Linked DNA regions of Diceros bicornis minor. The protein of the gene in region 1 interacts with the protein of each later gene in a biochemical or structural test. Links are inferred from orthologs where the notes say so. Each region holds a gene or a part of one and is shown on either strand. Other genes may lie near its edges.

Region 1 (11,156 bases):
ATCGGTTCTCTCCCCTTGGTTTCCTTTCCGTGCTACAGAGAATACTTAATAGGTGCTTGATAAATGTCGGCTGTGCTACGTGTCCTCGCCATTTACATGCATCAGCTCATCCCAACCCCCTATGGGGCGAGGGTCCATCATCATCCCCATTCCATAGATGAGGAAGCTGCACTGGCAAAATTAAGTCTCCATTCAAGGTCACACAGCTGGAAGGAGCAAAGCTGGGTGTTGAAGCGAGGTTCTTTCTGATTCTCGGGGACAAGCTCTTAACCAGAACATTTATATGTTCCTCAAACTTCCTGGAGCTCTTCATACTCCCTGGGAGAGATCAGCACCCACTGCCCCCTTCTAGGGCCCAGGCTGGGGGTTAGGACCATGCAGGCTCGCCAACACTAGTTACAACTCTAAGTTACACAAACAAACTCTGTCCTTCTCAAAACTAACAAATGAGCTTCAGATTAGCTGCTAGGGATTTTAAAAAACACCTCTACTGTCCAAAGTTCTCATGTAATTCAGCATTCAGCAGCCATTCAAGAGAATGGAGGGGGCTGGGTCTGTAACTTTATCGGAACTCCAAATTCTGCATTTCTCATTTTCCTAGTACCCCTCAAATGAAAGAGATTTTAATCCTTAGCACTACCTTCTACGGTTGTGCTACGATCTTGGCAGTTTCTGGCTCTGGAAAGGGGGTAGGGAGAACCTTCTGTGTGGTTTTGAGGAAGGGAGAAGGGGTAGGTGGTGAGATGTGGGTGGGTAGGGAGGGCACACCAAGGCTGAACTTGGCTTCTGTCATTAACTGGTTCCCTGAAGCTGAACTTGACCCCTGTGACAGTCAGGATCACCTGCCCCTCCTCTTTCTCCCAGAGAGAAAACACGCACAAGGATTCTTCTGCATTGATGAGATGCGAGGGAGCTAAGGTGTAAGGTTCCCAGATTTGGGCTTTACATTCCCTATAATAGGAAAGAGAGCTTAATTCCACTAGGCCCAGGACTCCTTTCTCATTTGAAATCCATCATTTCCCCTAATCCCCAACAGATTCTTTGAATTTGCCCTGTAAATATTTATACAAAAATAAATTCTAGGGCAGAGTTGAATCACCCTGAGCAAAGAGCGCTGTGGGCGAGGCGTGACCTGAACTAGTGTCACCTAATACTCTCAGCCACCGGACAGGGAAGCACCTCAAGCCCCAGGACCAACTCTAATTCCTTTTCTCTCCACCCTTCAGCTTAGGGCTTCCTCACCAGCAGCCATGCTCACGCTGAGCTCTGGGATGGACACTTCCAGTGGGATGGAGTCATACTCTCCCTGCATAGACCTCCCCACTAGAACTCCTAGATACAATGCCCCCTGACCTTTTGCTTTCACAACCATTTTCCTTTTATCAGGAGTCACAAACCTATTGAACCTGGCCCCCAGGAGTGTGGCCGATACGCTGTTTAAAAATAACTGGTTCTGGATTCCCTTAGGTGGGCCCATGCTTTCCATTTCTCTGCAAGCCCCACCATTCCTTTTTGTATCCTCCCCAGCCATATCACATATTTCTGTTACCTGCCTGGCCCCTGAAGGCCTCTGAGGTTTTCAAACCCTGCTTTCTAACTTTGTACTCCACAAAGAGCAGAAACTTAAAGAAACAGATTGTCTGACCCTGTCTCCAAACTACTGTGTGTCCCTGGGGCCCCTGTAAGCGGCACAAAACCTGAACATGTACTGTTTTGCCTTCTTTTTGGTGATCAAACTTGGTCCTTCCAAGGGACCTACTGGGGCCCAGGCATGGGATCTAGACATCCCAGTGAGGTCTGGCTGCTAAAGCCTCTCCTTGGATCCTATAATTTTGGGGAGAAAAGTATGGAGCTGGAACCTCCCCTTCTCCCAAATAAAAATTCAACCACTTAAATGCTCCTCTGACCAAATCATACATATTTTGCATCCTGAGTTTCCAGAGATGCCTGCCATCACATGGATAAGGAACCAAAATGGCACTGGTGTCTTGAGATCACAGAGCCCCACAGGGCCACCAGGTTGGGACTCCAAGGAGTTTATTCCCATAGACTCGCACATGAACAGTGCTGTCTGGTGTTATTCAGCGCAGTGGTTCTCAGGGCCTCTGAGTTTTGGTTTTCAAGCGTTTGGGCTCTGCAGCTTCCTGACCTTCTGGACAATATGCTGTGTTCTCCATGTTCCCTGCTGCCATCTCCAGATTCCTGGAGTTTCCCATTTGAGTTTCTTTACATAGATCTGTTCTAGTTTTTTCTCATTCAGTACATCATTCCTCACTATGATCTGGGTCTCCATGCTCACATTTCCTTAGTCAGCCTGCCCCCCAGCCCCAGGACCCCCTGTCTCTCTCTGTGCTGGAGAATCATCAACCTTACTCTCCTCCGTGGATTCCTGAACTCTGGCAATAGGACGGGCCAGCAGCTAATCCAGATTACAGTTTCACCAGCACCTTATTCTTAGCCACTGACCTCGGGGCCAAGCCCAAGGAGCTTACATTGGTCCTGCTAGAATAAGGCCAACCCCCGCCAGCTGCAAGCTTGGGGTCCTGCTAGATTTCACGCCCAAGCGCTGTGGGATGCAGACTCTGCTCAGCCGCGTGCCAACCCTCAGGGGCGTCTGCCCCCCTTCCCTTTTCCTCTGATTTAGCTGGCGTGTAAAGCTAGAAATACTATCCCCCGGGCTAGAGCCTGTCATGTACCCTAATTCCTCCTCTGGCCACATCCTGTTCCTGATTAATTCTTTACCTCCCTCGGAGAGAGTTGATCATCCCCTCCCCTGTGCTCCCAGAGCACTTCAGCAGGCAGCTATTAATGCACTTATCACATCGTATTATAGTTAGTTGTTTATGTGTCTCTCTGCCTGCTCCATTTTTAACCCGTTGAGGACAAGGGCTGTGTCTTACTCCCGTTTGGGTTTTTCAAGCCCAGTACAATAGGTATTCAATAAAGAGATATTGAATAAATAGACCATAACTCATTTTTTGGCCAGCAAATTAATCTTTCTTAGTGCTAGAGAAAAACTCAAGGAAAGAACGAAAATGGGATTAGAGAAGACCCTCTGCTCCTCAGCTGGAGTACTCTCAGGGTTGAGCTGTGTTGTTCAAGATCAGTGATTCTCAAATTTGCATGAATCACAATTACCTGGAGGGCTATTAAAACACAGATCACTGGGCCCTGCTCCCCAGAGTTTCTGATTCAGTAGATCTGGGGTGGGGCCAGGGAATTTGCATTTCTAACCTGTTCCCAGATGATACTAAAGCTACTGGTCTGGGGACCACACTTTGAGGGCCACCATTGCACAAAGATGAGGAGCAGTTAGAATCAGCTAGAGGAGCTATGAGGACTAAGACACAAAGTTTCAGGGGTGAGAGCGACCTGAGGTTAGCTGCTGGGTCTGCTCAGACTCTAACCCAGGCTAAACTCAAATATAACTTCCCCTCGGAAACCCCAAGACCCACAAAGAGCCTCAGGCGATGAGAGAGGAAACTGAAGATGGAGCAGGCTCTAGATCTAATGAGATAAACAGAGCTGATGTCCGGGCACAGGCGAGTCACAGATGTGTGGAAGGAGGACGATATGGCTAGAGACGCTATGGGGAGGCAGAGTTGAACAAATGACAGCAGGCGGAATAATAGATTAGAAGAAGCGGGGACTTTGCCAAAGTAAAAATCTCATTTGACTCAAAATATGAGTGGACTGGCAGAGAGAGAGGAAAAAGAAATCACAAATAAACTCAGGGCTCCCAGGAAGGAAAAAGAAAGATGCACTCAGGGCAATCAGAGAACCCACAGGAGAAACAAAACCCCAACCCGTTTCCCTCAAGGCTGTGTCCCTGATAAAGCACAGGAACTCTCCTCCAAGAAATTTAGGGACGGGGCTGAAGAGTGGGACTGAATTTTTGTTTGATCTTCTCCTTTAGAATCCTCCACTCAGGGCAGAATTATTCAGACTAATTTTCACCCCCTTCCTCACCCCCTCCCCCAAGTGTTTAACTGATGAGTTACATCAGTTTCTCTAAGGGACAAACCTAAGATCTATATTAGCTTTTTCCTCCCTAATCCTTTGCTCTTCTGAATATGTCAAGAGGTTGCCCAACACCTCAAGCTAAGACCCGTATTTGGAACTCACTCTGCCCGCTTCACCTTCAAGGAAAACTGGTTTGTGGATACCCTGCCCATGCAGGAACCGACCAGCTTCCAGCGCTGGAATCGTGGCTGCTCCAGGAGGGGAGCAGGGCAGCTGAGAAACAGCTCACGGGAGACAACATGTAGCAGGTTAGGAAAGGGGCAAGCGTGCATCTCATACAAGCATGCAATGCCATGGGACTAATGGAGTAAAGTCGTTCGGAGCCAGAGTGGATGGTAAATGCCGACTGAGGTGCTGGAGTTGGAATAACCTAGGAGGAGGCCTTGCCGGCAGTTCTTGCGCCGGGCGGTCTCCAAGCCCTCTGGATATCCCAGCCACAGAAACACCTTACACCGCCAGGTCCTGACCACCCGAAAGGGCTTCGTTCTCCCTCTGCCAGTGTTCTGGTCATCACCGCCAACCGTGTGCCCCTCACACACACACTGTGAATTTGCATAAAGGAGAGCTAGCTACCAAAGAAGCGAGAAGAAGCCCACTCGGCTCCAGAGGGAGCCCTAGCAAGCTCCCAAGAGGAAGCCGGGCGCTCGCAGACCCCGGCAGAGACCGCCGAGCGTGTCCTCAGCACCTGGACCGGCGCCGGTCGGTCCGCCGAGGAGCCTCCGCTACGCGAACAGCCGGCGCTGTCAGACACGCTCCGAGCCCAGCCGACCCGATCCCTTAACGCGTTTGTCAGCCCCAACTCTTCCAGACTCTTCTCTCAGCTCTGGAAAGGCCCAAGTCTCCCAAGCCTCGACCCCCCACCGCCGGCACGCCGGTACCTGGGTGGCTGGCACATGACTCTCTCCATCCTGTCCCCGGGACCGGGCGGGAGCGAGGGCCAGGCGCCGCATCCTCCCTCCCCGGCTCCACTGTTCGGCCTCGGCCCCGGCCCCGACCCTGACCCCGACCCAGCCGCCCGCACGCGGCTGCACAAAGCGCGCCGCCCCGCCGGCCCGGACAAAGCGGCCCGGGCACCGGCACCTACCTCGGTGCGGAGCGCCGGCCCGGCAGGCGGGATCGCGGCGAGCGGGGGCGCACCGGTCGTCGCCGCGCCCGCAGCCCCGCCGCGAGGGGCGGTTGCGGGCGGCGGCAGGTGGCCCGGAGGCGGCCGGGCGCACGGCGGGCGGCAGGCGGCGGGCGGGCGCTGTCACGGGGCGCGAGCGGCGCGGGGGGCGCGCGGGACCGGCGGCGGCGGGGCGCGTGGCGGCGCGCGGGCGCGAGCGGCGGGACTGCGGCGCCGCGGAAGGAGGACAATAGCCTCCCCCTGCCGCAGGCCGCCGGCTCCCGCGGGAGGTCCGGGACCATCTGGAGCCCGCGGCCCCGCGGGGGTCGGGGCGGGGCCCGAGTCACCCCCTCCCCGCCCGGCACCATGGCAACCGCGGCCCCTCTCGGTTCTCCGAACAGCCCCCCGGCCCGGGGTCGCTGACCTTCCCCGGGGCGAACGCGGAGGTGGCTCCGTTACCGGCTCCCGACCGCCCCCCACCTTCCCTGCGGGTGCCCCCGCTAACCCCGCCTTCCGGTCCTCGCCGGCCCCGGGTCACCCCCGGGCCATCTGGGTACCCCCCACAGCTTGCCGGGCTCGGTCTTCTCAGTTTGCGTACCCCACCTTTGTCCCTACTCCGCTCTTGCTCCAAAATCTGTATCCCCGGGACGCGAAATCCTTCCTTGAATGGCACTCACCGCCCGGAAGGTTTCCCAATATCCAGCCTCTGTTTTCCTTTTCAAATTTTCCTCTTTGGACACCTCCAGTCCATCTCCCTTTAATCATTTTTTTCATCCATCCCTTCTCTCTCGCGTCCTCCCTCAAGCAGGTAGGCCGGCTCTCTTTCCCGGAGCATCTCCATGGTACATGTGGTGGAGATTCGCCTTCTGGCAGATCAGATTCTCGGAACAGTCATCACTGCAGCTCTCTCGGCTCCTTCTCAGCTCCTCTCATTTATCAACCAGGAGAATTCCGGCCTACTCACTGCCTTAAGAGGGAGTGGGGGTGGGGTGGACATTTCTAGGCCTGGCACAGCTGGGTTTCTCCTTGGTTTGGTAGCGTCTGAATGGTCTAAGGTCTAAGGTCATTAACCACGGTGAACTGCTATCTGCTTAGGAGAGGAAAGAATTATGCCCAAATAATAACAAAGTTATAGAGTGCCAGGTGGGTGCTAAAAGTGCATGATCTCCTATGACCCGCACCCCTCACTCCAGCTCTAAGAGGTAGGTACTGTTCTTCCAGACTAGGAAACTAAGCTCAGAAATGAACTAGTAATAATAGAGTGGGCTTTGTACAGAGCAGTCTGAATTTAACCATTAGGTTATTCTGCCCTTGAAGATGTGGGCCTCTTTTTACCTGAGAAATGCCTGAAATGGCCAAGTAAGGGCAATGTGAAGAATGGGCTTTGTGTGAATTATTGGGCTTAAAGTTTTATGTATTTACAGGTAATCAAATTTTAGGATTTTGCTCCTTTCTGAAAAGGTATGCATACTGAAACTAACATATAAGCAATTGAAAATACTTTCCAGATATGATTTTGGCAAGGTGAAAGCGCTTGTGTTAAACCCATTTGAAAACATTTTCAAGGTAAAAAAAAAAGTCCTGCTACCACTCCTAACTCGTTGTGTCATCTCAGTTTTCCTGGCCTCAGTTTTCCTAGTCTATGAAATGGGTTGGGAGAGGGGGTGGGGAGTTGCACTAAAAGATGACCTAGAAGTTCTTTTCTAGCTCTGATAGTCTGATTCCATCACTAAACTGGAACAGTGATTCTGTCACCAGACTGGAACTTGGCCTTCTAGGGTACACTTCACCATTAGCTGTAATTCAGGCTATTTATTACTTATTCTTTAACAGTCATTCCTTCAGGCAACGGAATCAAAGTGAGGGCATAAGCTGTTACTGTTCCCAGCGGTAGTAGTGAGTGTGTTCAGGGGGAAAGGGGACACCAAGGTATGTACACCAAGGAGACTTGGTCAAGGATGTTAAAGCTGATAGGATGAGAAACAGCCAACTAGCTGCTGCTGTACTGGTTATGGGAACCGAGGGTCTCCACAACCGCCTATTGGACTGTGATCCAATTAGAAGACAAGCATATTAAGTCTATGATTAGCATAATAATAATATATTTTGTATAGTGATTTCCCATTTCAACATTTCATAATCCTTTTAAAATCGTCGTAAGGTAAACATTATCATTCTCGTTTTATCGATGAGCAAACTGATGTTCAGACACCTAAGTGAATGCCCAAGTTCACAGAGTTAGTTCATAGTAGAGACACCAGGACTTCTGATTCCTAATATGTTCTTTCCCCTCTGCTAGAGAGGGAATATAGCCCAGTGGATAAAGGCTTCAGTTTTGGAGTCAGACTCCTTGGTTTAAAACCTAGTTTTGCCACCTACTAACTGTTGACCTTGGGCAAGTTCCTTCACCTCTGAAGAATTCAGTTTCCTCATCTTAAAATGTATCATAATGTGTGGGGACCGAATGAGTTATTGCAGGTGAAGTACTAGAACAGTGCCTGGCACATAGTAACACTCCACCAGTGTCAGCCATTATTATTTTACCATATTATCATTTTACCGTACTGTTTCCCAATTTGGGAAGGAAGCATGCTCAATAAAGAGAACACTGAGATCCCTTGTCTCAGCTCTGTTACCGAGTTGCTTTGGAAACTTGTTATTTTGCTCCGTAGTGCGTCAGTACAGTCGATGATGAAGAAAACGTCTGCTTCCTTTTTACATAAGTTACAAAAGTGAATGGAATGATGTTCCCAAGTATGCTGAGCTTCTCAGAGAATCCAGATTTGCTGCCTACGTTACCAAGATTCACAGAAAGGTCTTTGTAGGACTTCCAGCCACCAAACCTACAGATGTAGCTGAATTCTCAGCTCTCATTCCTATACCATGGAAGAGCTGTCCCTCCTTCTGAGACTGATTCTTCTGGCTCCTGCCCTAAGTGCCATCTCCTCCCGCAGCCTCATGGCTCACACTCCTTCTGGTGAGCTCCCTCTCTTCTGGCTCCTTCCCATCAGCATTTAAACATGCTCAAGTATCTGCTAGCTTAAAAAATAAGTGAGAAACCCTGATCCTCCTCCATGTCTTGCTCATAATCTTTATGATCACAATCTTCTTGAGTCACTTGAAATCATTGGCTCTACTTCCTCACCTCTCATTCATCAAACATTCATTCAAAACCATCCGGCTTATGTGTCAGGCACCACGCTGGACCTGGGGATCTAATGATGAGTAAAATGGACACTGTCTCTATCCCTTTGGAGCTTACAGTCTGGTGGGGTTGACAGACATTAATAAAATAACCCCTCAGATAGATAATCAGAAAGTATAAGGAATGAAAAGTTCAGGATACTATGTGAGAGTTTAACAGAGTCATAACCTGGTTAGGGAGTTGGGGGGTCAAGGGAGACCTCCCTCAGATAATTTGAGTTGAGATCAGAGATATGAGAAGCATTAACCAGGCAGAGAATGGGGTATAACAACAGCAGTTACTACCATTAATTGAGGACTATATTTCTTGCACTTTACACGTATTGTTTCATTTAATTCCTGTAACAGCTCTAAGAGGTAAGTATTAGCCCCATTTTACAGAAGAGGAAATGGAGGCCTTGAGAGATTAAGTGCCTTGTCCAGGGTCATTGAACCAGGCAGGGGTAGAGCTGGGATTTTAACCAAGACAGTTGGACATTTGAGCTATGTTCTTAGCTACAGAGACACAAAGCATGTGGATACCAGCCCTGATGCTGTAGGATGCATGGTGAAAGGCAGTGGGAGAGAAAACAGAAGGCAAGAGCGAATGTATGGTGAATTCTAGCTGGGAAGATAGGCAAGGGCTAGGTCATGCAGGGCTTACTAGGTCATTTAAAATTTTTTGGTTTTTATCCTTAGAGCCCTGGGAGGCTATTGAAGGATTTAAAGCAAGGAAGTGAAGTGATCAACTTTGTCTTTTAAAAAGATTACTCCAGCTGCTGTGCGGGGAATAAGTTGGAGGAGTGTGCAAGTTGATGTAACAAACCAGTTAAGAGGCTACTACTGTGGTTCAGGTGAGAGAGGAGATGGTAGCTTGAACTTGGATGTTGACAGTGGAGACAGAGGAACATATAGGAGAAAGAATTGACAAGATGTGGTGATGGTGATGGGTTAGATACAGAGGGGATGGTGAGGAAAAAGGGTTTGTCATGGACTGGGCAACTAGAAGAATGGAGTTACCATTTGCTGAGATGAGGCAAACTGGAGGAAGACCAGGTTTGGGTGGGGAGAGTGTTGGTCTTGGAAGCTGCTGGGTTTGAGATACCTTTGAACCAATCAAGTGGAGATATTGAGTGGTCAATTGTGTCTGGGTTTGGAGCTCAAAGAGGAGGTCTGGACTTAAAATATACATTTGGAAGACAAAAGTGTAGAGACAGATGGTAAGTGAAGGGGATAGATGAGCATTGATGCAATTGATTTAATCCAATACAACTTCTACTCCTCTAAAGCAGCTTTCGGCAAGGTCGTCAAAAATCCTATTGCTAAATACAGCGTCAATTTCCAATTGCTATCTTCCTGTTTCTCTTGGCAGCAATTGACTCTAATTATGCCCATCTTCTTGAAATTTTCTTCCATTGGTTTAGGGTTGCCACACTCTCCTGGTTTTCAACGCTTGTGGTCCCTCCTTTGTGTCTTTTGTCAGTTGGTTTTCTGCTTGTCACTTAATTTTGTTGCTGTTATTGTTGGTGGTGTTTTGTTCTAGGCCCTTTTCTCATTCTATGCATTCTGCCTGGGCTGTCTTATCTATCACACTGCAGCTAGAGTAGCCTTTTTAATGCAAAAATCTGACAGATCACTCCTCTGCTGAAAACCCTTCAGTGGCTCCCCAGTGCCTTTGGGATAAAGTCCAAAGTTCTTAACAGTTTATACGCCCTGCTTACCTCCTTACCAGCCTCATTTCTCACCACTCCTCATTGACACTCTATGTCCTAGACATAAGGAACCTGTTGGAGTTTTTCCAATGTTTGTGGGATTTTGAACATGCTTTTCCCTCTGGCTGGAAACTCTTCCTTTTCCATTCACCTAGGTCTCAATTGAGGTGTCACTTCCTCCAGAAAGCCTTCCTTGGGCTCCAACTCTGGGACAGGGGCCTTCTGACAGCCGTACTCCATACCGGATCATCACTGGCCATTGGTTGTGTTCCCTCTTACAGCGTGAGCTTCGTGAGGGAAGAGAATACATCCATTTCACAGTTGTATCCCCAGCACAGCAGACACATAGATATCTGTGCAATAAATTAATGAATGACAGAAAAGACCTTGGGGAAGAAGCTGATTCCTTGTTGTGAATAGATGAAACTAGATGTTTTTATATCAAAGACTGCATTTTCCATTTCTTTTACCCCTAATCTACACCCCATCACTAAGCAGCAGCAAGCACTTTCTAGATGCACTGCCTTCTGCATAAGGATGATACAGAAAAATCACAGTCAAATTCTTGGCTTTTGAACTCTTAACTAGACCTTTTAAAATCGATTGCACAGAAGATGTTCTTGAAAGTTCCAGTTTTTAAATGGTTAAAGCCAGGTTCTTGAGAGGGATTTTTTTTCTTCAGAAGCTTCCCTTTAAATATCAAGAGACAGAACCTGAAAGACGTAAAGCTCAAAGTTTATGCCATCAACTGTAGAATTGGGAAGAACATGTGAGTTTCCCCTCCACACAGAAAATATAATAGTTTTTGAGCTTGGAGCAGAACTGAAAAGGACTGGAAAAGGAGAACAAGAGAGGTTAGATGCAACTGTTTTCTGTCCCCACCAGCAAACAATAGTAGACAGAAGGGGCTTATGCTTTGTTTCACTCCTGGAACTCTGAGAAGACACAGCCTTTCAAAGTACCCTGTGCACAAAGCAGAAGTGGCATTGTCACCTGTGTAGGCAAAGCAGGTCTGAGATAAATTCCAGCTCCTCATCACCCCCAGCCTTCTCACTCCCTAAGCCCAAGTCTCTCTGGCTCCTTTACATTTGGAGGAAATCTGAAAAGTTCCTTGGTGTCCAGCCCCTGAGAAGAGG
Region 2 (11,843 bases), on another chromosome or scaffold:
AGCCCCAGGCAGAGGTGGTGCCAGAAAGGTGAAGGCAGCATTGAGAATGATGCACAAGGTAGAACCAGACCCAGCTTGTCCCTGCAGCCCCACAAGCTGGCCTGCCAGGGCAGTAGTTGGGTGAAGAATGGGTGGGGATGGGAGAGGCGGCTGAGCTGCCTCTGTTGTGCTCCACCATATCACGAGAGCATATAAAAGGGTCATGTCAATTTTTTGAACTGTATTTGTAACTAGGAACTGTGTACTTGACAAATGAGCTGCCACTCTCTTCGCTATTCACTCTGGCAAAGCCAAGTAAACAAATGCCTTGTAGAGGCTTCTTGAAAAAGTAGTCTCATTACACATTTAATTTTTGAGGACTCAAGTCTGCTGCCAGCCACCAATGACCATTCTCTTCCTGATGCAGGCAAACAAATAGCAAATCTCTCCGTAAGACTCTCCCAGTACCTGCTGGCTATCGGCCTTGTGGCTTAGGAAACCTTTATCCTAAGCACTCTTGATTGTTCTTTACATTCTGGGAAGGAGGCTAGTTATCTCCCATTTTACAAGTGGGAAAAGGAAGCTGAGAGGTGGAGCCTCAGAGTCTAGGACACTGGTGGCCCATTTTGGCCCAAAGACATATTTTGTTTGGCCCACAAAGTACTTTTTAAAAAACAGCTTTATTGAGATAAAATTCATATGCCATACAATTTACTCATTTAATAATTCTGATTCCTCTTGAAAAATCAGAAGATCTGGCAACACTGGGTCTGCATTCTTGTATGGGGACAGCTGGCTGGAAATGAAAAGCAGTTGGCCCTTTGGTCAGGCATGCTTAATGCAGCTTCCAGATTCCTCACACTGTCTTTAAGGCTACCCTCTTCCTCCCTCTAATTCCCAGCAACTAATTCAAGATGTTTCTCCTTCCACATGACATCTGGTTTCTTTCTTACCCTCAGGGCACCTAGCTTGGTGTGATGCACATCCTTGGCTCTCAAAATACACATAATTGAATAGTGAGCTCTCTCTACAAGTCACCTCCTCTTCACCCTTTCCATCAAGCTAGGAATGGATTCTTGCTGAAGTTGTACAAATAGCCTGAACATCACATTGCAAGTGACAGTGTTAAATATATTGACTTCATCTCCTCGGTTAATTCTAGTGTCCCTTAAACTTAAGTGAATCAGCAGATTATAAGAGCTGCAAACTGTGAAAAAAAAATTGAGACAATTAATAAAATTGGAATATTGACTGGATATTTGATGATATTAAAGAATTACTGGGGGCCGACCTGGTGGCACAAGCGGTTAAGTGCGTGCGCTCTTGCACCGACGCACTGCTTGTCAGGCCATGCTGTGGCGGCGACGCATATAAAGCGGAAGAAGATGGGAGTGGATGTTAGCCCAGGGCCAGTCTTCCTCAGCAAAAAGAGGAGGATTGGCAGATGTTAGCTCAGGGCTAATCTTCCTCACACACACACAAAAAAAATTATTGTTAATTATATTAGGTTTTGATAATAGTATGTTGATTATGTTTTTAAAAGAGTGTGGCAGCAGGAAGTGGGTGGGAATGTGGTTAAAAAGATTGGACAGGAGCTGATAACTGCTACAGGTAGGTGACGGATATGTGGATGTTTGTTATACTATTCCCTCTCCTGTTATTTATATTTGAAATTTTCTCTAATAAAAAGAATAAGAGCTAGTGAATAAGATGATAGCACTTAAGTAAAAATTCGAAACACCAATACTGCGCGCGCGGGCGCCCGCGCGTGCGCGCACACACACACACACTAAAATATGTATGTCCATAAAATCATGGATGGAAAGGAGCACATCAATTTCATGATGATGGTTTGCTTCTGGGATTACTTCCGGAACAGAATGAAAGGACGAGATTGTAGAGAGGTACAAAGAGGCTTCGTTTATATCTGTAATGCTTTATTCCCCCCGGCAAAAAATCTGAAGCAAATATGGCAAATGTCAACATTTATTAAATCTGGGTGGGGGCTGGCCTCGTGGTGTAGCTGTTAAGTGCGCGCACTCCGCTGCTGGCAGCCCGGGTTTGGATCCCTGGCGCGCTGAAGCACTGCTTGTCAGGCCATGCTGTGGCGGCGTCCCACATAAAGTGGAGGAAGATGGGCAGGGATGTTAGCTCAGGGCCAGTCTTCCTCAGCAAAAAGAGGAGGATTGGCATGGATGTTAGCTCAGGGCTGATCTTTCTCACAAAAACAAAACAAATAAATCTGGGTGGTAGACACGTGCTACGTGGGTGCTTATTATATAGTTTTCTGAACTTTTCTGTATATTTAAAGTATCTCGTTTTTTAAAAAGGGGGCTAAAGCAGCATAACATCCCCCCAAAAGAGTGAAACTCTTAGCTTATTGATGAACTTGTAAAGATCTAATACTGTTTCTGTATTTAGGCCCACATAGTCACAAAGACAGTTTTAAGATTGACCAGAATATTGATCCATTTTAGGACAGAACTTAGGCTTTGGGATCTTAGCAAAGATTTGAGCTTCAGAATAAACACAGTATTCTGATCAAAGTGTTATAGTCTGCAAAATGTGGCTTAGGAGCTGCCCTCTTCTTGTATTACTATCTATGATATGCCTTTGGGAAGAATGACTTATGTTTAGTTTTTAAAAATACCTATCACTTTATTGTTGTCATTAAAGCGCGCACAGACACCCCTCCATTTTCCTCATTAAATTCTGAGAATTGGTTTGGTGCCAGAACAGGATGAAAGGAATGGTCAACAACTGTCTGAAGATTGGGAAAGGCAGTGGACTGATATTGGGGCTCTTCCCTCTTTTCTTTGCTTTCTTTGTTCTCCTTTCTTTTAATTACAGTCTCCTTAGCCCAGAAAATAAAATTGTAGCAACATGTTAAGCTATGGAGCTGTTAAATCTGGTAGAGACATATTATTCTTATAATATAAAGTTGGCTCAAATATTTCAAATGATTTTTCCTATCCCTTTTTCACTTTGAAACAAAACAAAACTTTATAAATGTCAAACAGCAAGAACTACTTGAGGCCTGAAATCTAAAAATGTGGCAGATGCTCAGTAAATCCTAATGGGAAAATTACTTAAGTTTCTCCTACTTTACCTTTTGGCAGAATTATTGGCATAATAAAGAAAATGTTGTCCCAGGGGCCGGCCCCCGTGGCTTAGCAGTTAAGTGTGCGAGCTCTGCTACTGGCAGCCCGGGTTTGGATCCCGGGCGCGCACCGTCGCACCGCTTGTCCGGCCATGCTGAGGTGGCGTCCCACATACAGCAACTAGAGGGATGTGCAACTATGACATACAACTATCTACTGGGGCTTTGGGGAAAAAAAGGAGGAGGACTGGCAATAGATGGTAGTTCAGAGCCGGTCTTCCTCAGCAAAAAGAGGAGGATTGGCATGGATGTTAGCTCAAGGCTGATCTTCCTCACAAAAAAAAAAAGAAAATGTTGTCCCAGAGAAAAAACAAGTCAATTCTTTAAATTTTAAAACTGAAAATTCACCACTGATTTGATGCATTTCAAAATACACTACCAAGAGAGAGGAAGGAGAGACTAAGAAGCATTTGCTTAAGTGACATTAAAGAAAATGGCTGGAGATGGAACTACTCCTTCCAAACAATTCAAGAAGCAGAGGATCTGGTGGGATGGACAGACCGTTCCTTCTGCACTGCTGATGAAAACAGGAAATGGCTAATTTCTATTTGTATTTTCTTTTTAAAACAAAAAAGGCAGATGAAGCACACACAAACTGGTTGAAGACAGAGATAGTGGTGTTCTCTGAAATTCAACATCAAGATCCAGCAGTTATACCTAACCCTCTGCCATAACAAACTAGGGTCCTCCGCCCCACCCCCAACCTCTCTTTATTTAGGGACTTCTTTGTTAATGTGATAAAGCTATTCAATCATTCATCCACTCACCCATCAATCCAATGAAAAAACATTTATTGAGCACATAGTGGTGCCAGGACCTAGGTAGTGTGTGTGTAGAGTGAGGTGAAGACGAGAGTAATGAAAAACGAAGGAATACTATCTTTTCCCACAAAGATTTAATAGTCTAGTGAGAGAGACAAAAAAAGTCCTCCCCAAAATGAGGTGTGTCACTGAGCTCAACCTCATACCCCTGGAGAGAAGGAAAGCTAACAACAAAAAAAGCACCTTTCCTTGGAAAAAGTGAGGACCTTGGAACTCAATCTCAATTTAAGTCTTGGCTCTTCAACTCATAAACCAGGTAGTTTGAATACTGTTATTTAAACCTCTCCAAGCTTCACTTTCCTGCATAAACTGGGGGTAGTAATTCCTATCTACCTACCGGACGCTTAAATGAGGTGATGCAAATGAAACAACCTTGTAACATGCCTAAGATGTCCCAAGGGCTGGGTCAACAGAGGGCATCTGACAGTCAGCTCCGGACAGGGAATAGGCAGTTTTGCCTCCATGGAGCCATTTAGAAGAGGCACAGAAAAGGTATCAACCAATCTCGGTGGGACCAAACATTTGAGTGGAAGACAGAAACGTAAAACAGTTGTTTTACAATTGTCCCCCTCCGCCCCAAATAAGAGCAGTATTTAGATTCTTTCCATTTGTCACTATTGATGCTAACGGATAAAGCACTGGATTTAGGGCACCTCTACTGTGCGACCCTGGGCTCACTAGACTTCTTCGCGCTTCAGTTTTGTCATTTGTAAAACGAGGATGAAACGTCCTGCCTTAACCATTCACCCAGTTTTTGTGAGGATCCACTCGAATGGATGTGCACTCCCCCCACCCACGTCAGCGCTAGAGCGCCTGGCAAATGTTATGTTTGGTAATTTTTTTCCCCAGCAATTAGGCGTTCCGAAGACGAAGGTATCACCCTGCTTGCTTTGTCACTCTCCTTTCTTCTCGACCTTTATTCACGTTATAATTTATAATCACAGAAATAACTGAAATCTTATGGCTATTTTTCGCACCAGATTCTCGGGCCCCACCCAGATACACCGCCAAGCCTCCGGCCAGCTGCAGACAGAGGGAAACTTACCCCTTCTCTACCCGCGGGCAGGCCCTAGCCCGTCAGGCCCCTACACCGGGCGATCCCGAAACCAATCCTCACAACCCTCGTGCATCGCCCCGCCCCTTAGAGAGGGGACACACTATGGCGGCCCGGAAAAATGGCAGGGGCGCGAGCCAATCACTGCAGAGGGCTGCCCTTATCCGGCAAGGCCCAGAGGCGGGGTCATCAGTCAAGATGGACAGCCAGAGCAGCCAATAGAGTTATCGGAAACCGGGGAGGGGATGGGCGCCGGGCGCTCACATCGGTTAAGGCCCCTCAAGCCAACGGCCCAAGAACCCGGCCCGCACTACAGCTCTTCCCTCTATCCATCCCCAAGTTCTCCATCCCACGGTTGCTGGCCGGCCGCCCTGCCTGCGGACTGGGGGGTGGGGGTGGGGTGGATGGAGGCGGCGGCGGCTGAACCCGCCTGACAGGCCGGGCCAGTGACAAAGAGCCGGCGGCCCGGGCTGAAACCCGGGAAGCAATCCCTTCGGGAAGGAGAGCATACGTCCCTTTAGAGATAGGAAAGACGCAACTCACGTTGTCGATCACGACGGGTTGGTTGGCGATCACATCGTAGGACTCCATGGCAGAGGAATCTTTCCTTCCGAGGAAGGAACTGCCAGCCGGGTCCGCTGCTAACGCCACTGACACGCATGCGCAGTCTAGCCGGTGGTAGAGGGCGGCAGGGAGCGGCCCGACCTCGCCTCCGAAGAACTACAAGCCCAGCATGCCTTGCACCAGGGTTAGCGAGCCAGGCAACTTCGGAGCCCCGCCTGCTTTAAGAGACGGGGCGTCGCGTTTCTGACGCACAGTACCCTGGGCTTTGTAGTCTCCATTGATAATAGACAGGGATGCCGATTGATGGGGGTATTGCTTGCTTGGATCTGTAATCCGCTTGAAGGGATTAGCAGTGCATGCTGAAATATGTAAAGTTGTATGAAAGTAGTCTTCTTGAGTACTTGTCTGTAGTTCGGTTTGGATTGGTCAGTAATTCGTGCATATTTGGATTTTACAGATCCCTCCTGCCACTCCCCACCACTTCCCCTGGACGATATAAGATTGCCATGTTTTTATTTGGGTCTATAAGACATTAATAAAAATCTATCGCCATCACACTCGACTAAAGGAAATTTTAATACACACACACGGGAAAGGACATATTGCCAGAACAAAAGAAAATAATTTAAATTGCATAAAATTTGCTTTTTAGAAAAAACGGTACATTTTTGTTGCTTTTCGCGTTTTTCCTGGGTAGGTGTGAACTTTGCAACAGGCTAACATTGGTCCGAAGACTGGCATTTGAAGCTACTGGTATAGATGATTTTTTGGCTATTAAAACATCGTTCATCTAATAACTTCAGAAACTGCTCTATCTCTTTAATTTTCGTGGGGAGCTAGAATTTACATTGATGAGCGAGAAAATGGAGGTGAAGAGAGGTTATGTGTCACTGCTTTCAAATGAGCCCAGTGCATTCTTCTCTAGATTATTTCCTCCCCGCCTTCAAGCTGCAGGGATCTTTTAGTTAATAGTACTGGTAAGCAGGACTCCCTTCTATCCCTTTCTCTTGGAATTTCCAGATCATTGAGTGGAAGACATTACTATATGAAAAGTTATTGTAAACAGGAAAGTAATTCCCAACTCAGTGCCTTCGAAATTAACTTTTTTTCCAGTTACAGAGAGCCAAGGTAATGGGGAAGGGCAGGCCACAGTAGATAATGATGTTCCTCAAAGTAATCTGCAGACATCTGCCTAAAACAGAAGAAAAAAGAGATTGTCATCTTCACTAAAAGCATTTTTTAAATAATTACCAAGTCTTTTTAATCGATCCTAGTTTACCTAACTCTTGTTACTTTCTGACAGAATTCCAAAATAGGTATTTCAAAATATGACCCCTGAATTTGGCGGTGTTAGTGTCAGTCGATATAGTCAATGGACATTCAAAGACGGTAGGTAACGTTCAGATTTGTTATCTATTAAAACTAATGCCAGGGGCTGGCCCCGTGGCTTAGCGGTTAAGTGTGCATGCTCCGCTACTGGCGGCCCCGGTTCGGATCCCGGGCGCGCAGGGACGCACCGCTTCTCCGGCCATGCTGAGGCGGCGTCCCACATACAGCAACTAGAAGGATGTGCAACTATGACATACAACTATCTACTGGGGCTTTGGGGGGGGGGGAAAGAGGAGGATTGGCAATAGATGTTAGCTCAGAGCTGGTATTCCTCAGCAAAAAGAGAAGGATTAGCATGGATGTTAGCTCAGGGCTGATCTTCCTCACAAAAAAAAATAATAATAATAAAATAAAACTAATGCCACACGGACGAATGAATCAATCTATTGTCAGATTTATATTTAAATCCTTGTTAGCAGCGTGTCAGCAAAACAGTGAGAAGCCTTTCGTCGGTGCACTTTCCACGGCTTTCGTGAGACCCTAGCACCTCAGAAGCATGCCGCAACATCTCTATTTAAGTCTAGGTTCCTCCTAACACTAGGGGGAGGCCAAGAGCCTTGGGACACCCCAAACGCAGGCAGAGGGAGGCGGGACCTATGGTCAAGTCACGCCTTCCCTACCTGTGACTGGCACAGACACTAGCCAATGGATGCTGGGATAGGGCGCGCCGGCGCCCCGCCCCCTTGAGCGCCCCGCGGCCGCCGAGGCACCCTCTGGCGGTCTCTGCGGCGGCGACTGCCAGGGCGGACGGTGCGCCGTGCGCAGGCGCGAAGCCTACACCTCGCTGCAGCCCCCGTCGCCTCGGGGAGTCGCACCCACGGAGTCCGCCGCTGGCGCGTCAGTGCTCTCGCCTCGTCCGCCTTCCCTGGCTTCCCCAGCGTCCTACACGCCCCGATGGCGGAGCTGCGGCCTAGTGGCGCCCCCGGCCCCACCGCGCCCCCGGCCCCTGGCCCTACTGCCCCCCCGGCCTTCGCCTCGCTCTTCCCCCCGGGACTGCACGCCATCTACGGAGAGTGCCGCCGCCTTTACCCTGACCAGCCAAACCCGCTCCAGGTTACCGCTATCGTCAAGTACTGGTATGCCCTGGGCCGCGGGGAGACGGACAGGGGCGGGCTGGGCAGGGTTAAAGCGCCGGGGGCGAAGTAATTTGCAAGGTTGGAGGAGGAGACAGAGAATGGTTAAAGCACTGGAAGGAGGGCTTCCTGCTGCGAGGGAAGGAGTTAAGGCTCAAATTGCGAATGGGGACAAAGGGGTTAACGGAGCCTGTGGGTAGCGAAGGGTTAACGAAGGAGGGAAGGCTGAAGGGTTAACTGAGATTAGGAGAATAAAGTGAATTGGGGGTGTGTGTAGGAGCTGAGAGGGGAACGGTAGGAGAGAGGGAACTGTAAACGTGGTGAAAGGAGGGGGCGCCTGTAGGGGGTCATTAGTGGGCGAGGGGAAGCCAAGGAGGGGCGGCCGAAGCGGGATGAGGGAGGCGAGGCGGGGCCTGGGGAGCATATGAGAGAGCTTTGGAGGAGCCGGGCTGGAGGAGCTCAAAGGGCACGAGACAGCATAGGGTTGGGGCCGGTCTGGGGACCCGGGCTCTCCTGTGGGTTAGGAGGGGAGCAAGCTGTGAGCGTCGTGCTTGTGAAGAGATGAGGAGGAGGTCTCGTTTTGATACTTCCCAGTGAGCTCAGACATCATATCAGTGCAATGCTTTTGCGTTTGAAGTTTCACCGGGCAACTTTTCCTGATAAACTTTCTGCTTACTCTGCACAGTTCTCTTTCTCCATGCAGAGCTTCCTCTGGCTCTGCAGCTGCTTTGCTTTAGGTCATTGGCTAGAACAGAGGCAGGCAGGGTCAGGGAGATCCATGATTTGGGTCAGGATTGAAGGAGACCTCGGTAAATGATGAAGACCTGGGAGTTAGACAAAGAGGAAAGAAGTGCAGTGTGATGTTAAGAGGAACTTCCTGGCCACGAACTTTAGGATTTAGGCAGCAGTGTCTCAGGGAAGCTGAGAGTAACCCTCAAGTAGCTCTGTTAAGGATTAGACCTGTTTACAGATGGGCTGCCCTTGGGGTAGGAATGGTCTTTTCTAGTTTCTCATTCCTGTTTGCAACCTGTCTCTTCCTGCAGCCTCTGGGCAAAACAGGTGTTGTGGGGACTCTGGAAAAGAGCCTGTCTTCATGGTCTTTCTGGACCAAAAGTTGACAAGAATTGGTTGAATCTGTCCAGAACCACATTCATGCAAGCATTGTATTAGATGGTCCCTTTGTTGAATCCTGGAAGACTTTTCAGGTATCTGCTTGGCCTGTGGCAGAGGGGGTAGGTAGACTCAAGGTAGAAGTGAATGAAGGGGATGTCTTTGCTGATTACCTTTCCCTTTAAGACTGAGTCTTTCTCCTACATGACAACCTCTTACTTCCTCCAGAGATGGCAGAAGCTAGGCTGGATAGGGCTGAGGCCAGCTCCCTGTGTCGATGGGAGGATGTGAAGAGGCTGACAGTGTGGAGGGCCTGAGGACCAGCCACCTGCTGCTTAGGGAGGGCCACGAGGAGCAGCCTGTCTCTGTCTGGTAGCCGGAGGAGGTGTGGCCAGTGGTACAGTTCTTTCTGGCAAGCACACTGTTCTTTGGTTGAGAGGAGTTTTTGAAGAGAGCTTCTGAGTGAAAAGCAGCTCTTGATAACTTAATCACCCATTCTAATTGCACCTCTATATTTAAATATGTATTGTGATGAACTCTGTTGGATTGTGTCATGAGAAAAGTGGGCCTGCCTCTGCCATACTGTTTTTTCAGGCCGCATTTGAGTGTAGGGAGAAATCCCTACACGGACTTGGGCAACTGTTTTTATGTCACCCAACTGGCCATGAAGGATAGAGTTGTGTGTAAAAGGTATTGAAGCATGTGCAAAGGACTAAGACTGGTTTGGGCAACTTTTTTTCTTCTTCTTGCTGCAAACTTGTTAATGGTCTAGACTCGGTGAATGATGAAGGCCAGAGATGGGCCAGCATGTAATGATGACTAAAAAGGATTGTGAAATTAGAAATGCTGCCTAGATGAAGAAAAACGTAAGAGGGGACAGCTCAGCAAATGATTCTTTCTAAGATTCAAAGGGGGTTGCGTAATTAAGATCCTGAAATTAATTCATTGATATCCCTCACATTTGGAGTCCCACAAGGCCTCTTCAGTTCTCATGGCAGGATGACAGACTGAGGCTGCCTGGGTCTGGCTGTGGGCCAGGTTACCTTGGGATTCCTTTTCTTGCAACAGAAGGGTGGCTCTTTGGCTAGTGGTCCTTGGCCAGCAGGGACATCCTGGCTGAAAGCGGAGACTTTAGTGAGCAGGGAGCAGAAGCAGAGAGGCAGAGCCTGTGCTCTGGGGCCACTCCAGTCCTGTACCTGCCCTGCAGAGTTAAGTGTTGTAGGAATTAAGTTGAGGGATGCTCTGGGTCCTTGAATAACATCTTTCTCTAAGTGCAAAATATGATTATTTTCTGTATACTCGTCTGCTTCCCGTCAGGTCTCTGAGTAAGTAGAATATTACAGTCTGTGCTTGGGGACTAGCTTAATTTTGTCTGACTCTTGGTCATTCTTTGCAGTGGGGTTTTAAGGTAAAGCCTCTCTCCTTGATGCAATACCTCCTGGGAGACTTGGCCAGAAAGAGAGCTGCAGTGAGGTCACAGATGGAGCATGGAAGAGTGGACATAGTTTTGCCACTTGTTGCTGGATGGACCTCAGCTGAGGGAGGGGCAAGACTGAGAATATGCAGCAGGAAGCTGGAGCGGATATGAAGCCTGCAGTCACTCCCATCTTTTCCAGAGTTCTGCAGTTTCATGGGGTCCTTCCTGGGAGAGCTTCCCTTTTCTTGCCTCTTTCCCCTGACAAACTTTTCTAAATCTAACTGGTTGTGGAATTAGTCAAATGATTTGGCAAAATCAGAGTTAAGGAAAGACATGGAGATTTGCCCCTTTTCCTAATCCACTCTGTTGAGATTCTAAGCTATTTGTAGTGACTTTCTTACAAGTTCTATAAATAACTTAGCGTTTCCTAGCAGAGAATAAGGATTTCTACAAAGGCAAATAATATTCTGGCAAAAGAGGATGAAACCAGACCTACTGGTTTTAAATAGTGTTTAAATTGCATGGTACTGTCATGCTTGCTGGGATCACATGTAACATGTCTTTTATTTGATTGTTAACGTCTTTTCAGCATACGATCCCAATTGCAAAGCACACTCCATCAATGTCCCAGTGGCAGGCAAAGTTTTTACAGTCTGTGGAACAGTCATGTGGCCAAGGCATCTCAAATGCAGAGTGTTTGTGGGCTAAATGCAGACTTCCCTCCACTGATGGTTTCCATTTAGTCTGTTTCTCAAATCTACCAAGTTTCCCTATCCATTCTGAAGAAAAGCAGGATATTTTTTAAAGAGCGCTAATTACTCTACTAAAGGGAACCCTTATTGAATTAAATCCTCAGAGTGAAATAATGACTGAATCTCTTCCTCAGCTGCCTCTCTGTTGGAATTATGGGGGAAGTTTAACATGGTCCACAGAGGCCCCAAATCATTTAATGTTTCAGCTCTACCTTTGAGGCGGCAGTCTCCTGGGATCATCTTCCGGATGCAGGCGCTCGCAGGGTTCAGCCTGGCTCCTGCTGCAGTTCTCTGTGCAGAGCTGAGCTAGCCTAAGTTTGGCCTTTGTCACTCGCGTGATAAAAGACTAGCTTTAGTCCATGGGGCGTGGGCTGGGGTCTGGAGGCATTGGGTTTGTTTAGAACAAACTGTATTTAACATAGGGCACAATCTAGTCTTTCAGGAATTAGCTGGAACAATGCCCATTGGGGATGCTCAGGATGGTGTTTCAACAGAGGCCAATTGGTTGATGCACCTCTTGCCTC

The links.
Region 2: the proteins of SPTBN2 (region 1) and ACTR1A form a complex in vitro, tested with the Homo sapiens proteins (2 studies listed by BioGRID). The link is inferred for Diceros bicornis minor from reciprocal best matches to the Homo sapiens genes SPTBN2 and ACTR1A.

Annotation. Positions count from the first base shown.
Region 1 is NC_080770.1:6,658,225-6,669,380, reverse strand, and holds the start of SPTBN2 (spectrin beta chain, non-erythrocytic 2), read right to left. Parts: upstream 4,923-11,156; 5' UTR 4,919-4,922; coding exon 4,902-4,918; intron 1-4,901. UniProt on the Homo sapiens protein: Probably plays an important role in neuronal membrane skeleton.
Region 2 is NC_080745.1:67,456,195-67,468,037, forward strand, and holds the start of ACTR1A (alpha-centractin), read right to left. Parts: upstream 5,673-11,843; 5' UTR 5,606-5,672; coding exon 5,558-5,605; intron 1-5,557. Other genes in the region: SUFU (suppressor of fused homolog), read left to right, coding at 7,862-8,043. UniProt on the Homo sapiens protein: Part of the ACTR1A/ACTB filament around which the dynactin complex is built. The dynactin multiprotein complex activates the molecular motor dynein for ultra-processive transport along microtubules.